2 linked regions of the Arabidopsis thaliana genome follow. The protein of the gene in region 1 interacts with the protein of each later gene in a pairwise test. Each region holds a gene or a part of one and is shown in the gene's direction. Other genes may lie near its edges. The genes, in order: AT1G17970 and AT3G62310.

Region 1 (5,344 bases):
GTAAAGGGGTAACTTCTTCACTTCAACATGGCAAATAAGCTGCTTAACTAATCATGATATCATTTTGAATGTCGCTAGTCTTTATATAAAGCAATCAATTTTTAAGTTTTAAACATTTTACCACAAGAAAAGTCCAGAAAGATGCAAACATACCTGTACAAACCGTCGGACACGGGTCATTCCACCAAGTGCTCCACTGTCCTCATTTCGGTGTAACACTCCAAATTCGGCCATTCTAATGGGTAATTCTACATTCCATACCGCAAAACAAAAAAGATGTCAGCAAAAGATATATATGCAACACTTGCTTCGATGTTTGGAAAATGATTGTCGTTTAATCCCAGCTCGCCATAATAAAGTGAATCGTAATAGAAGCCCTGCAATAACAATTACCATCAGAGATAGCCCGTCTTTGCAACATTACAGATGAAATACCAAGAACCAAACAATATTGACTCCTCCTTTTTTTACTCTTTTAGCCAAAGAAACATAATTAAGGGGAAAAAACACAGAACAAAGCTCTTACTTCATCTCTGGGTTCGCAGGGTCCAATACATAGCTTGCATCCATACTCCTGCTCGAGAGCCTGGCCTAGAATGTGGGCGCTAGAATGCCAGAAAGTATTACGGCCTTGGTCGCTGTCAAATCCGAAAATCTCTAAGGAACAATCACCTTCCAGGGGCCTATTCATGTCCCACAAGACATGATTAACCGAAGAAACCAGAGCAGATTTTGCTAAACCCTTAGAAATCTGCACTGCGATGTCCATTGGAGAGGTCTCCCATCTCCTTCCTTCTTTCTCGATACCGTCGGGGAGAAGAGTAATCCTAAGCAGTGAAACAAAAACCAGAAATCAACTAATTGCAAAACCCTAGCTTAGCAAACAAATTGATGCACCCTAGTGAAAATGATGAACAATTAATCATAAACGTATTTACTTGATTGGATCGTGTGGCCGAGATTGAAGCTGCTCAAGCTGCTCGGCTTGGATTTCCTCGAAGAGCCTGATACGCTTGGGGATGACGGATGAGAGATAAGCCTCATCCTTGGGATGATGATTATTCGCCATCGATGGATGAGCAGAGAACGAAGGACAAATAGAAACTATAGAATATAGAAGATGACGTTGAGAGCAGAGGAGTAGATTATCCCAAGGTCAACTTCCCTTTTATAGCTACAACACTAAAGTGACTTGCGGGCCAAGCTTTAGAGCTTTTCCTTTCATTTTTTGTAATAAGGTAATAACAACAAGTGGCAGATGCACCTAACTTTACATAATTTCCTTTTGTATTTAAATAATTTTCTACAATATTTATAATTTCTTTTCAATTGAATTGTAGTTTTGTTGATAAAATGCAAATTAAAAGTATATGTATATAACCTATTTTGGCGTGACTTTCTTTGATTTAATGTTTCACATTTATATTTGTTGCATTCTCAATAATATCCAAATGACCATTATTAGGCCTATTAATGTGGAAGCTATAAAATCAGTTTGAAGTGGGCTTATTATTTGTAGTTTTGGGCTCTTAAAAGCCTATTAATGATGAAGCTAGAATCAGTTTTGCAACGTTCTCGGATGGTTTCGTGTTACAAAAATGTAGTCGGGTTCGATTTGGTTGAACCGGGTCTGGTAGACAATAATGTAATATTGGAAAGGAAAACGGTTCAGGCTTCGTGGCGATGAGCATCAACCATCAAGGCTTTGCTGGATGTCTTCAAAGCTCAAGAGTGCCAACTTTATGTATACGAGGATTGTTCAAATATTAAAACCAACCAAAGAAGTGGTCTTTTGATGTTTAAGCTTATCGTAGGATGTTTCAGCTGGACTTTGTGTCTCTTCTTTATCTCTACCAAAATAATATCTAATCACTCTCTCTCTTTTTATTTATTTAACAAGATTGTTTCGACTTAAAAGAGTCATGTAGTGACTGACACCTTTCCTATTTTTACAAGCAAGCATCATTTTAAAAATTTTAAAATTTACTTTTCTGGAATAGAAAAACCAAAAATAAGCAAAATCATTAAACTAAATTGCCCAAAAAAAGTTAAAAACCCAGAGAAATACTCAAATTAACCTAAACAATATCTCTTATAAAATCATTATTTCTAATTTGGTAGTATTCACAAAAGATATGCATGAGCTGATTTTGTTTGGAATCTCATACTAATGGTTGCATGTAAAAACAAAAACTAAAAAATCTTTAATAGTATTATATAGGAAAAGCTATAATCATTATACAAAAACTGTATCATCATCATCATCAAGCTTGAAATCACTCTCTTTCATCCTTCCCCGCGCACTGTGTCTCGCTCTCTCTCTCCCACATTTCCATTATCTCCTTTACTTTCTTTCTTTGAGAATGTCTTCTACAACAATCGGCGAGCACATCAGACTCCGACGAGCTAGAAACCAAACAATCCGTCATCTCCACGCCGCCGACGATGATCCGCCGCTAAGCCACGTCGTTCTTCCGATTTCACAACCTAATCGCTTCTGTAACTCCGCAATGTCTTCCTTCTTTCCCCTCCCGACTTCCTCCTCCAACGAAAGCACGAGGAAGAAACCGTACCAAACGTCGTCGTTTCGAGGGATGGGTTGCTATGCCGCAGCAGCAGCAGCAGCTCAAGAGGTTTCTGTTCCCTCCGTCATTCGCTACTCCGCGGATTTGGATGCCAGAATTAGAAAAGATAAGAAGAAGAAGAAGCATAAGCATAAGAAAAAGAAAAAGAAGAATAAAGGAAGCTACGAAGATGGTTCGATTAGGATTTTAAGCGAAGAAGCTAGAGACGTTATTGATGTTTGGTGCAGACCTGGATTAGGCTTCTCCACGGATGCTGTAATTGGTCGATCGGTTGATCCTCCTCGGGGAAGGAATATTCCGTCGTCTCGTCGCAAAATTGATGTGGATAACAACAATTATAATCACACACTGGTAAATTGATCTAAAGTTGGATGATGAATTTAGTGTTATTATGTTATTGACTTTGACTTTGAGGAAATGGTATCGTTTAGGCAGAAACTGTGTGGAGTGGTTGGAGCTCTAGTGGTTGTAGTTAGCTCTATGCCAATTGCTGGGCCATTGTTAGTTTGGTTTGGTTTATTAATATATGTGTTTGGATTCTCGTTTAGACAAATCATAAGGGTCTACTTTAGATGTAGCGGTTCTCTATTATTAGTTTTTGTTTCATGTGAGGATAATATAGAAAATTTCTTTGTTTGACGTGCGGGTGGTTCTTTTGGGTTTGATGCTCAATAAACTAATCGAACTCTGGTTTGGTTAGAGAATGGAATCTTATCATGCTTTTGTCTCGTTTAGCTAGAGGATGGAATCTTAGCATTGTTTAAGTTTCTTTTTGGTTGGATTCAATTGGTTAGGGGAGTTGTTGGATTTATTTTGATCAAAGAAACGCATTGCTTCAGAGGACTTGAAAATTAGGAATCTATCATCATGTCTAAGTGTTTGAGAAATGATAACACAATGCTACAAATGTTCTGCAGGGTTCTTCTGTTCTTCCCATTCGGTTTCTCAATCAAGAAACTCATTCTCATGATATCTTCAACTCTGATTCTACTTTTGTGACATCATCACGCGCTGAACCAACGATGTTGTCAAGTAGATGTCGTGGCCATCTTCCACGCTCTTACCCTGATGATCTTACCGAGGTAGAATGTTCTTGCCAAATAGTTGCCTTGTCTTTCTTGCATCTGGTAAATGTTATAGATTTGACTTCTTAGTTTATTAACTGATCACACTCAACACTATGTTAAGGTTTGACTTGTCACTTGGCTTCATATCAACTAAGAGATTATTCTAGAGTTGTCTCTTACATATTCTAGTGACTGATAGAGTGGAAGACAAATAATGTAATCGTTCTCTTTGGTGCTGTATGGTGCTGTAAAACTGTTTTGGATGGCTAATAGCAAGTGAGCAAGTTAAAGAACTAAACCATGCAGCTAGTGTAGTCATGTTCCTGCTGTTCACTGCAGATGAGGATGCTCCAGAATGGTTTTGTAATGGGAAGAATAACAGATTCCCGTGATAACTACCACGAATTGAGGCTCGATGTTGATAGCATGTCATACGAGGTATGTTTTTCAAAATCTCATGAGAAAAACACTTGCAATCTCATCTTCTCAACTTTATCGAGTGTGTTTGCTTTGGTCTACGCAGCAACTTCTTGAGCTTGGTGATAGAATTGGTTATGTGAATACTGGACTAAAAGAAAGCGAGATACATCGTTGTCTTGGGAAAATCAAACCATCCGTATCACATACTCTTGTTGATAGAAAATGTAGCATCTGTCAGGTAAACTCCAGATTGAGTCAATGGCTTCTCGAAACTTCAGACAGATCATGAGTTTCATAATGCTATTCCTTATTGTTTGATGGTGACAGGATGAGTATGAGAGAGAGGATGAGGTTGGGGAATTGAACTGTGGACACAGCTTTCATGTCCATTGCGTGAAACAATGGCTTTCGAGGAAGAATGCTTGTCCGGTCTGTAAGAAGGCAGCATATGGCAAGCCTTAAAAGACTTTTGTATCTCGTCGGGTTTCTGATAGCTCAAGATCTTTCAAGCCACCTTGCTGTATAGAGATCTGTATCATCTGATACTTGATTCATATTTGTTGTTTTTGCATTTAGCAATCACAATTTTTTTTTTTTAAGATCTTATATTCTTTGTTGGGTCTATTTATGTGATTGAAATCAAGAGTTTGAAATCTATGTTTTCTGTTGCCTAGGTAGATTTAAGACAGGTAGAGAGTAATTTAGCATATAGCATACACGCACGTAACTAAGAATCAATGTTTTAACGTTTGAGTCTGCATTTATATATATATGTGAAGTAAACTCAACCCAGACTTTTATTTATGACAGAAAAAGTGTTTGGGATCCATAGACAAGAACACATTACATTAATCTTATCCAAACGAGTTTTACATGAGATCATGCAACATCTAAGAAAAGCATATAAATATAAGACATAAAGTAACAAGAACCCCTCAACTTAACATCTCGAATTTCCGTAAGTGCTCTGAGATTCTTGGCAATGTAGGGAAAAGCCATTATTACTTGCCATTGGTTTTGCCTAGAGACGTGAAGCTCAATCTGCGAATAATCAGACAAACAAAAACAAACAATCTTTGTCAAAATCCAAAAATGTATATTCAAACGTTAAGAGTAAACATAGACACAAAATCACTTACTTGATTATCGGTTTTCGCTGTTGTACTGAAGGTCTATGTGCCGCATCGGGCTGTCGCGTGGGAAGAACCTTTCAACAAAAGAGAAATCAGACAGGAGGAATAAGATCAAGAGAACAATTTATGTATCGAAAAT
Region 2 (5,856 bases), on another chromosome or scaffold:
ACTTGAAAGAACTTTGTGGTGACATTAAAAGGGTCGTATTGTCTCTTCGTTTTCTTCTCCAAAGGTGCGACTTTTGTTATTCCCTTTACGCCTATATAATGGCGGACGCATCTCCCAAGTTTTAAACATATATCCCATTCTCTCCTTACCTTTGAGAGATGTCGACATCCACTGTAGAAACTGGATATGGTGGTCGCATCAGAGTGACAGTGGCTAGAAATGACAGAGACATTACCAGTGAAGTGAGAACATTTCTGTGTAATAAAGAAAACGCGAACAAAATCATCGGTCTGGATACAGAACGATCGGTTGTAGGAGGCGATAGCGAATACCCACCGGAGAGCAAGCTCGTGATTCTCGAGCTCAGTGATGGCCAGAATTGCCTAATAATCCCGCTTCCTTATGTACAAGGTAATAAGCTGCCCGTTTCTCTCACCAATTTCCTCAATCTTCCAGATTTCACCTTTACAGGTGTTGGTATAAACAAGGCTTTGAAAATGCTCAAGAGCGAGTGTGGTTTGACCTGCAAGAATGCCGTTGATATCGGACCTTCGTCGTGGGCCTCTCTCAGCTAGATTCGTGGCGAGATCAAACTTCATTTCAGTCATTGGGTCTCGTTTTGGAAACCAACAAGCCCTATCTATGAAGATTGGGACAATGACAGTCTTACCGAGGATCAGATCAATCTTGCAGCAGCGAATGCTTACTTGGCTTTCAAAGTTGGGAATTTGATTAGAGAAGCTATGTATTGAGTCATGCCTCTGTTTGTTTTTTTGTTTGTTTCGGTCTCTCCTATGTTTTGTCTTGTTTTGCTCGTCAATTGCCTGCAGTTCAATGGACGATTTTGTCACCATCTTAAATCATTTTGGCCCCAAGGTCTAATATTTGGTAAGGTATGCCCGTATGGGATTGTTACTTGTTAGAAACTTCATCACTTTGCAACACGCGACATTCGTAAATCGCAACCCCCATTACTTTACCCGGCTACCAAAGGGTTGAATCTTCTCACCAAAATAATTTAGTCCATAAAAGGTACAAATATTCGGCTTGTCATCTCGTTAATTATTGGGCTGGGCCTGAAATTTTAAAACCTATTACAAATCTATTATTAGCCCACAAACCTGGAACAGTTGGGCTCTTTTAAAAATTTAAAATTATGGGTACTGGAATCCAACGGCAGAGACAATGGATAAGCCTACAATCGTTATTAGACCTTTTTAGTCTGTCTGATTGTGTACAGAAGATTTGTTTCAGTTTAGGCATTATTGCATTTTGAAGACTTGATGGAATGGTTTATGTGTTGCCATGAAGAACTTATTCAGGAAGATAAAATCTAACGTTATGACATTACTAATATTTGCCTCATGAATCTTAAAGGTCAAGACAGCTGTACTACATGCATTTAACTTTCGACTCTTCGGTTTCCTCTCCAAATGATGTGGCTTTTGAAATCTAACGTTATGACATTACTAATATTTGCCTCATGAATCTTAAAGGTCAAGACAGCTGTACTACATGCATTTAACTTTCGACTCTTCGGTTTCCTCTCCAAATGATGTGGCTTTTGAAATTCCCTTTTACCTATAAAGATGCAAGTATATCTTGAGCACTTGGATTCATCATGTACCCTCATTATTCCAGTAAAATATGAATTCGAAGTGTTAAGACGATAATTTCAGTATATTCAGATATTGGGCCGGCCTGACAACTTTATACTTATTACAAAAGCCTATATTAGCCAACATAACTAACACTTGGCTCCTTTTCCAAATATTTTGAGGGGGCTAAAGTATATATTGTTTAGATTTGGGGTCAAATTGAAAATTATAATTAAACTTAAGCCGCCTCTCTCTTCTTCTAACTCACGCAGCCGAACCCTAGCTTTCATAAAATTTTCATTCATCATCGTTCTTGCTTCTTGCTAAAGGCCTTGCCTTGTGCTTCCTCGTCCTATCTCTCTTACCTCCGTAATTTGTTCGTAAGAGAAGTATCGTGATGGGTACTGAGAGAAAGAGGAAAATTAGTCTGTTCGATGTTATGGACGATCCGTCTGCTCCGGCGAAGAACGCCAAAACCAGTGGTCTTCCCGACGGCGGAATCAACAGTCTGATCAATAAATGGAACGGGAAGCCTTATTCACAGAGATATTATGACATTCTGGAGAAACGGAGGACTCTACCTGTCTGGCTGCAGAAAGAGGAGTTTCTCAAAACGTTGAACAACAATCAAACCCTAATTCTGGTTGGTGAAACCGGTAGTGGTAAAACTACTCAGGTAAAGTTTTCATCTTTTCCATTCAGATATTTGGAATTTGATATGTAGGCTTGGGAATGATTGTATATGGAGGAGAGTTTCTTTTGTCTAGAGAATGAAAGGCTAATGCTGAATTTTGTTTATTTGTACAGATTCCACAGTTTGTGATAGATGCTGTGGATGCTGAAACATCGGATAAGCGTAGGAAGTGGTTGGTTGGATGCACACAGCCTCGTAGAGTTGCTGCCATGTCTGTGTCCCGTCGTGTTGCTGAAGAGATGGATGTAACTATTGGGGAAGAAGTTGGTTACAGCATCCGTTTCGAGGACTGCAGTAGCCCCAGAACGGTTCTTAAGTAAGCATTGTCTCTTCTTTTAGCTTCTCATCTTTATAATTGATGTATTTGTGGACTTGTATCTAATCATGTGTTACTCACTATGACCAGGTACTTGACTGATGGTATGCTCCTGAGAGAAGCAATGGCGGACCCTCTTCTAGAGAGATACAAAGTCATTATTCTTGATGAGGCCCACGAAAGGACTCTAGCCACAGATGTGCTGTTTGGTCTTCTGAAAGAAGTGTTGAAAAATAGACCTGATCTTAAGTTAGTTGTGATGAGTGCAACTCTAGAAGCTGAAAAGTTTCAGGATTATTTTAGCGGTGCTCCTCTGATGAAAGTTCCTGGTAGGCTTCATCCAGTTGAGATCTTTTACACTCAGGAGCCTGAGAGGGACTATCTTGAGGCTGCTATTAGAACTGTTGTCCAGATTCACATGTGTGAGCCACCTGGCGATATTCTTGTTTTCTTAACTGGGGAGGAGGAGATTGAAGATGCATGCCGCAAAATCAATAAAGAGGTTGGTAATCTTGGGGATCAAGTGGGGCCTATTAAAGTAGTGCCACTGTATTCTACTCTTCCACCTGCGATGCAGCAGAAGATATTTGATCCTGCTCCAGAGCCTGTAACAGAAGGTGGTCCTCCTGGGAGAAAGATTGTTGTCTCCACTAACATTGCTGAGACTTCTCTCACCATAGATGGGATTGTCTACGTCATTGACCCTGGTTTTGCTAAGCAAAAAGTCTATAACCCTCGAATCCGTGTTGAGTCTTTGTTGGTGTCCCCAATTTCAAAGGCAAGTGCTCACCAGAGATCTGGTCGTGCCGGTAGAACACGGCCTGGAAAATGCTTCAGGCTTTACACAGAGAAGAGTTTTAATAATGACTTGCAGCCGCAGACGTATCCTGAAATATTGAGATCAAACCTTGCAAATACAGTTCTGACCTTGAAAAAACTGGGTATTGATGACTTGGTGCACTTTGATTTTATGGATCCCCCTGCTCCCGAAACACTGATGCGAGCCTTAGAAGTTTTGAATTACTTGGGAGCACTGGATGATGATGGTAACTTGACAAAGACAGGTGAGATCATGAGTGAGTTCCCCTTGGATCCACAGATGGCAAAGATGCTCATAGTCAGTCCTGAATTCAACTGCTCAAACGAGATTCTCTCAGTTTCAGCTATGCTATCAGGTACGCCCTTTACCTTTATCTTTTTGTTTTTGCTACCTTGGGTTAGGTATGTAGTTAAGGGTAGGCGTAAACTTGCTGGCAGTTTCCATTCTGCATATATTCTAATGTGCATTAGATCTCATCTTTTATCGTTCATGTGTATAATTGTCATTTAGAATTAAGTAATAGAGTTAGGTTGTCATCAGCTGTCTCTAGTGTGGATTCTGCATATCCATGGTTAGGGGGTGTCCTAAGCAATTGTTGATGCAAATAGTTGCAGTTTCTCAGTTATTCTCTCTCATGAAGCAAATGGTATCAGTCTCATCGCCTCTATGCATCTGCTGACCTCTTCCCTGGACCTCTTCTGTTATAATTACCAATTCTTTCTCTAGTACCGAATTGCTTTATTCGGCCTAGAGAGGCTCAAAAAGCAGCAGATGAAGCTAAAGCTAGGTTTGGACACATTGAGGGAGATCACCTCACATTGTTGAATGTCTACCACGCTTTCAAGCAAAACAGTAAGTGATTATCCCTTTATCTTCCTCATTGGTTTATAGTTGCTTTAGACAAATGTAATGACTGTAACTAACTTGATCAATGTGAATTCTCGCAGATGAGGATCCAAATTGGTGCTATGAAAACTTCATCAACAATAGAGCGATGAAATCTGCAGACAATGTTAGACAGCAGCTAGTCCGGATAATGTCAAGATTCAACCTGAAGATGTGCAGCACTGATTTTAACAGCCGCGACTACTACATCAACATAAGGAAGGCCATGCTTGCCGGTTATTTCATGCAAGTGGCTCACTTAGAACGTACTGGCCATTACTTGACCGTCAAAGACAACCAAGTATGTCAAAACAAATTCAGTTTAGGTTGTTTCCATTTAAAATGTTTCTCTTTGTTCTAATCTGATGGTTATATTGGCAGGTGGTTCATTTGCATCCATCCAATTGCTTGGATCACAAACCGGAGTGGGTAATCTACAACGAATATGTTTTGACTAGCCGGAATTTCATCAGAACTGTGACAGACATTCGTGGTGAATGGTAAGTTCTTGCATTTCGTGTTCTTGTTTTCTTTGGTTATTATCTCTCGGAGGTTTTCTTTTCTAAAAAAATCTCTCTTTTGCCATGTGGATTCATAGGCTAGTTGATGTTGCTTCTCATTATTACGATCTTTCGAACTTTCCCAACTGTGAAGCCAAACGTGTAATCGAGAAGCTTTATAAGAAGAGAGAAAGGGAGAAGGAAGAGAGCAAGAAGAACCGGAAATGAAGGAGAATCTTATCCTCTCATGTCGGCATCTGATTCTACTTGGACAAGAGGACCAATCCGTGAAGCCTGTTTCATAATTATAGTTACCTATTTGATCATAAGATTCTAGCAATTATCGTTTTCGGAGCTGTTGTGTTGAAACAAATATTTGCATTTGACCCAAATGGTTGTTTCTTTTAAGAGCTTTGAAGATTCTTATTACTGAGTTCCCTTTCAGGCTTTCTCTATGAGTTATGACAATTAGCAATAATAATTTTGGAAGATTATAATTTTCATATATGATTCATGATTGACAAATCTGAAAGAGAAAAGAGATACGAGACGCAAGGCGAACAGAGACATTACTTGATATATTAGTCAAAGTTATGTTTTCTACCAACAACGTACAGAGATCTCAATTATTCTTAAACACAAAGGTTTGATCAACGACTTGCTTATTTCCATGGGGCAGCGAGAATTGCCTGAAATTCGTGATCTACATTCTGAACCTCTTGGTCAAGAACAGCTGCTTGAGACTGCATCCGAGCTATCTCATTGTCTAGTGTGACTTTTGCTTCCTTCATCAACACTTCTTGCCTCTGCAATTCAACAATATCTTCTTCATACTTCCTTCTTTTATTGTCATTCTCTGTGATCTTTTCCTCAACAGCTTTTAATTCCTCCAATGCGCATGTCTGCCTTTCTTTAATGGACAGTATCTTGGCTATCCTAGATCGAGGTGTTGTAACATTGAACCCGTGTTTCTCAAGCTTGAGGAAACACTCGTCGATCCTGTTAATCGAGCTTATTGGATCGTCGACTTGTAGATTGTTGAC

Evidence for each region.
Region 2: the proteins of AT1G17970 (region 1) and AT3G62310 interact in a two-hybrid assay, tested with the Arabidopsis thaliana proteins (one large-scale study listed by BioGRID).

What each region holds. Positions count from the first base shown.
Region 1 is NC_003070.9:6,182,669-6,188,012, forward strand, and holds AT1G17970 (RING/U-box superfamily protein), read left to right. Parts: upstream 1-2,048; 5' UTR 2,049-2,363; coding exon 2,364-2,936; intron 2,937-3,502; coding exon 3,503-3,667; coding exon of another isoform or gene 3,668-3,739; exon of another isoform or gene 3,740-3,991; coding exon 3,992-4,090; intron 4,091-4,175; coding exon 4,176-4,310; intron 4,311-4,399; coding exon 4,400-4,534; 3' UTR 4,535-4,805; downstream 4,806-5,344. Other genes in the region: AT1G17960 (Threonyl-tRNA synthetase), read right to left, coding at 154-248, 305-377, 527-827, 939-1,069; PAPS1 (poly(A) polymerase 1), read right to left, coding at 5,074-5,113, 5,212-5,279.
Region 2 is NC_003074.8:23,056,701-23,062,556, reverse strand, and holds AT3G62310 (RNA helicase family protein), read left to right. Parts: upstream 1-1,825; 5' UTR 1,826-1,995; coding exon 1,996-2,274; intron 2,275-2,405; coding exon 2,406-2,608; intron 2,609-2,698; coding exon 2,699-3,783; coding exon of another isoform or gene 3,784-3,938; exon of another isoform or gene 3,939-4,036; coding exon of another isoform or gene 4,037-4,107; exon of another isoform or gene 4,108-4,152; intron 4,153-4,154; coding exon 4,155-4,280; intron 4,281-4,375; coding exon 4,376-4,614; intron 4,615-4,694; coding exon 4,695-4,813; intron 4,814-4,911; coding exon 4,912-5,041; 3' UTR 5,042-5,317; downstream 5,318-5,856. Other genes in the region: AT3G62320 (Polynucleotidyl transferase, ribonuclease H-like superfamily protein), read left to right, coding at 159-556, 635-752; DUF7 (agenet domain protein (DOMAIN OF UNKNOWN FUNCTION 724 7)), read right to left, coding at 5,476-5,856. UniProt on the Arabidopsis thaliana protein: May be involved in pre-mRNA splicing.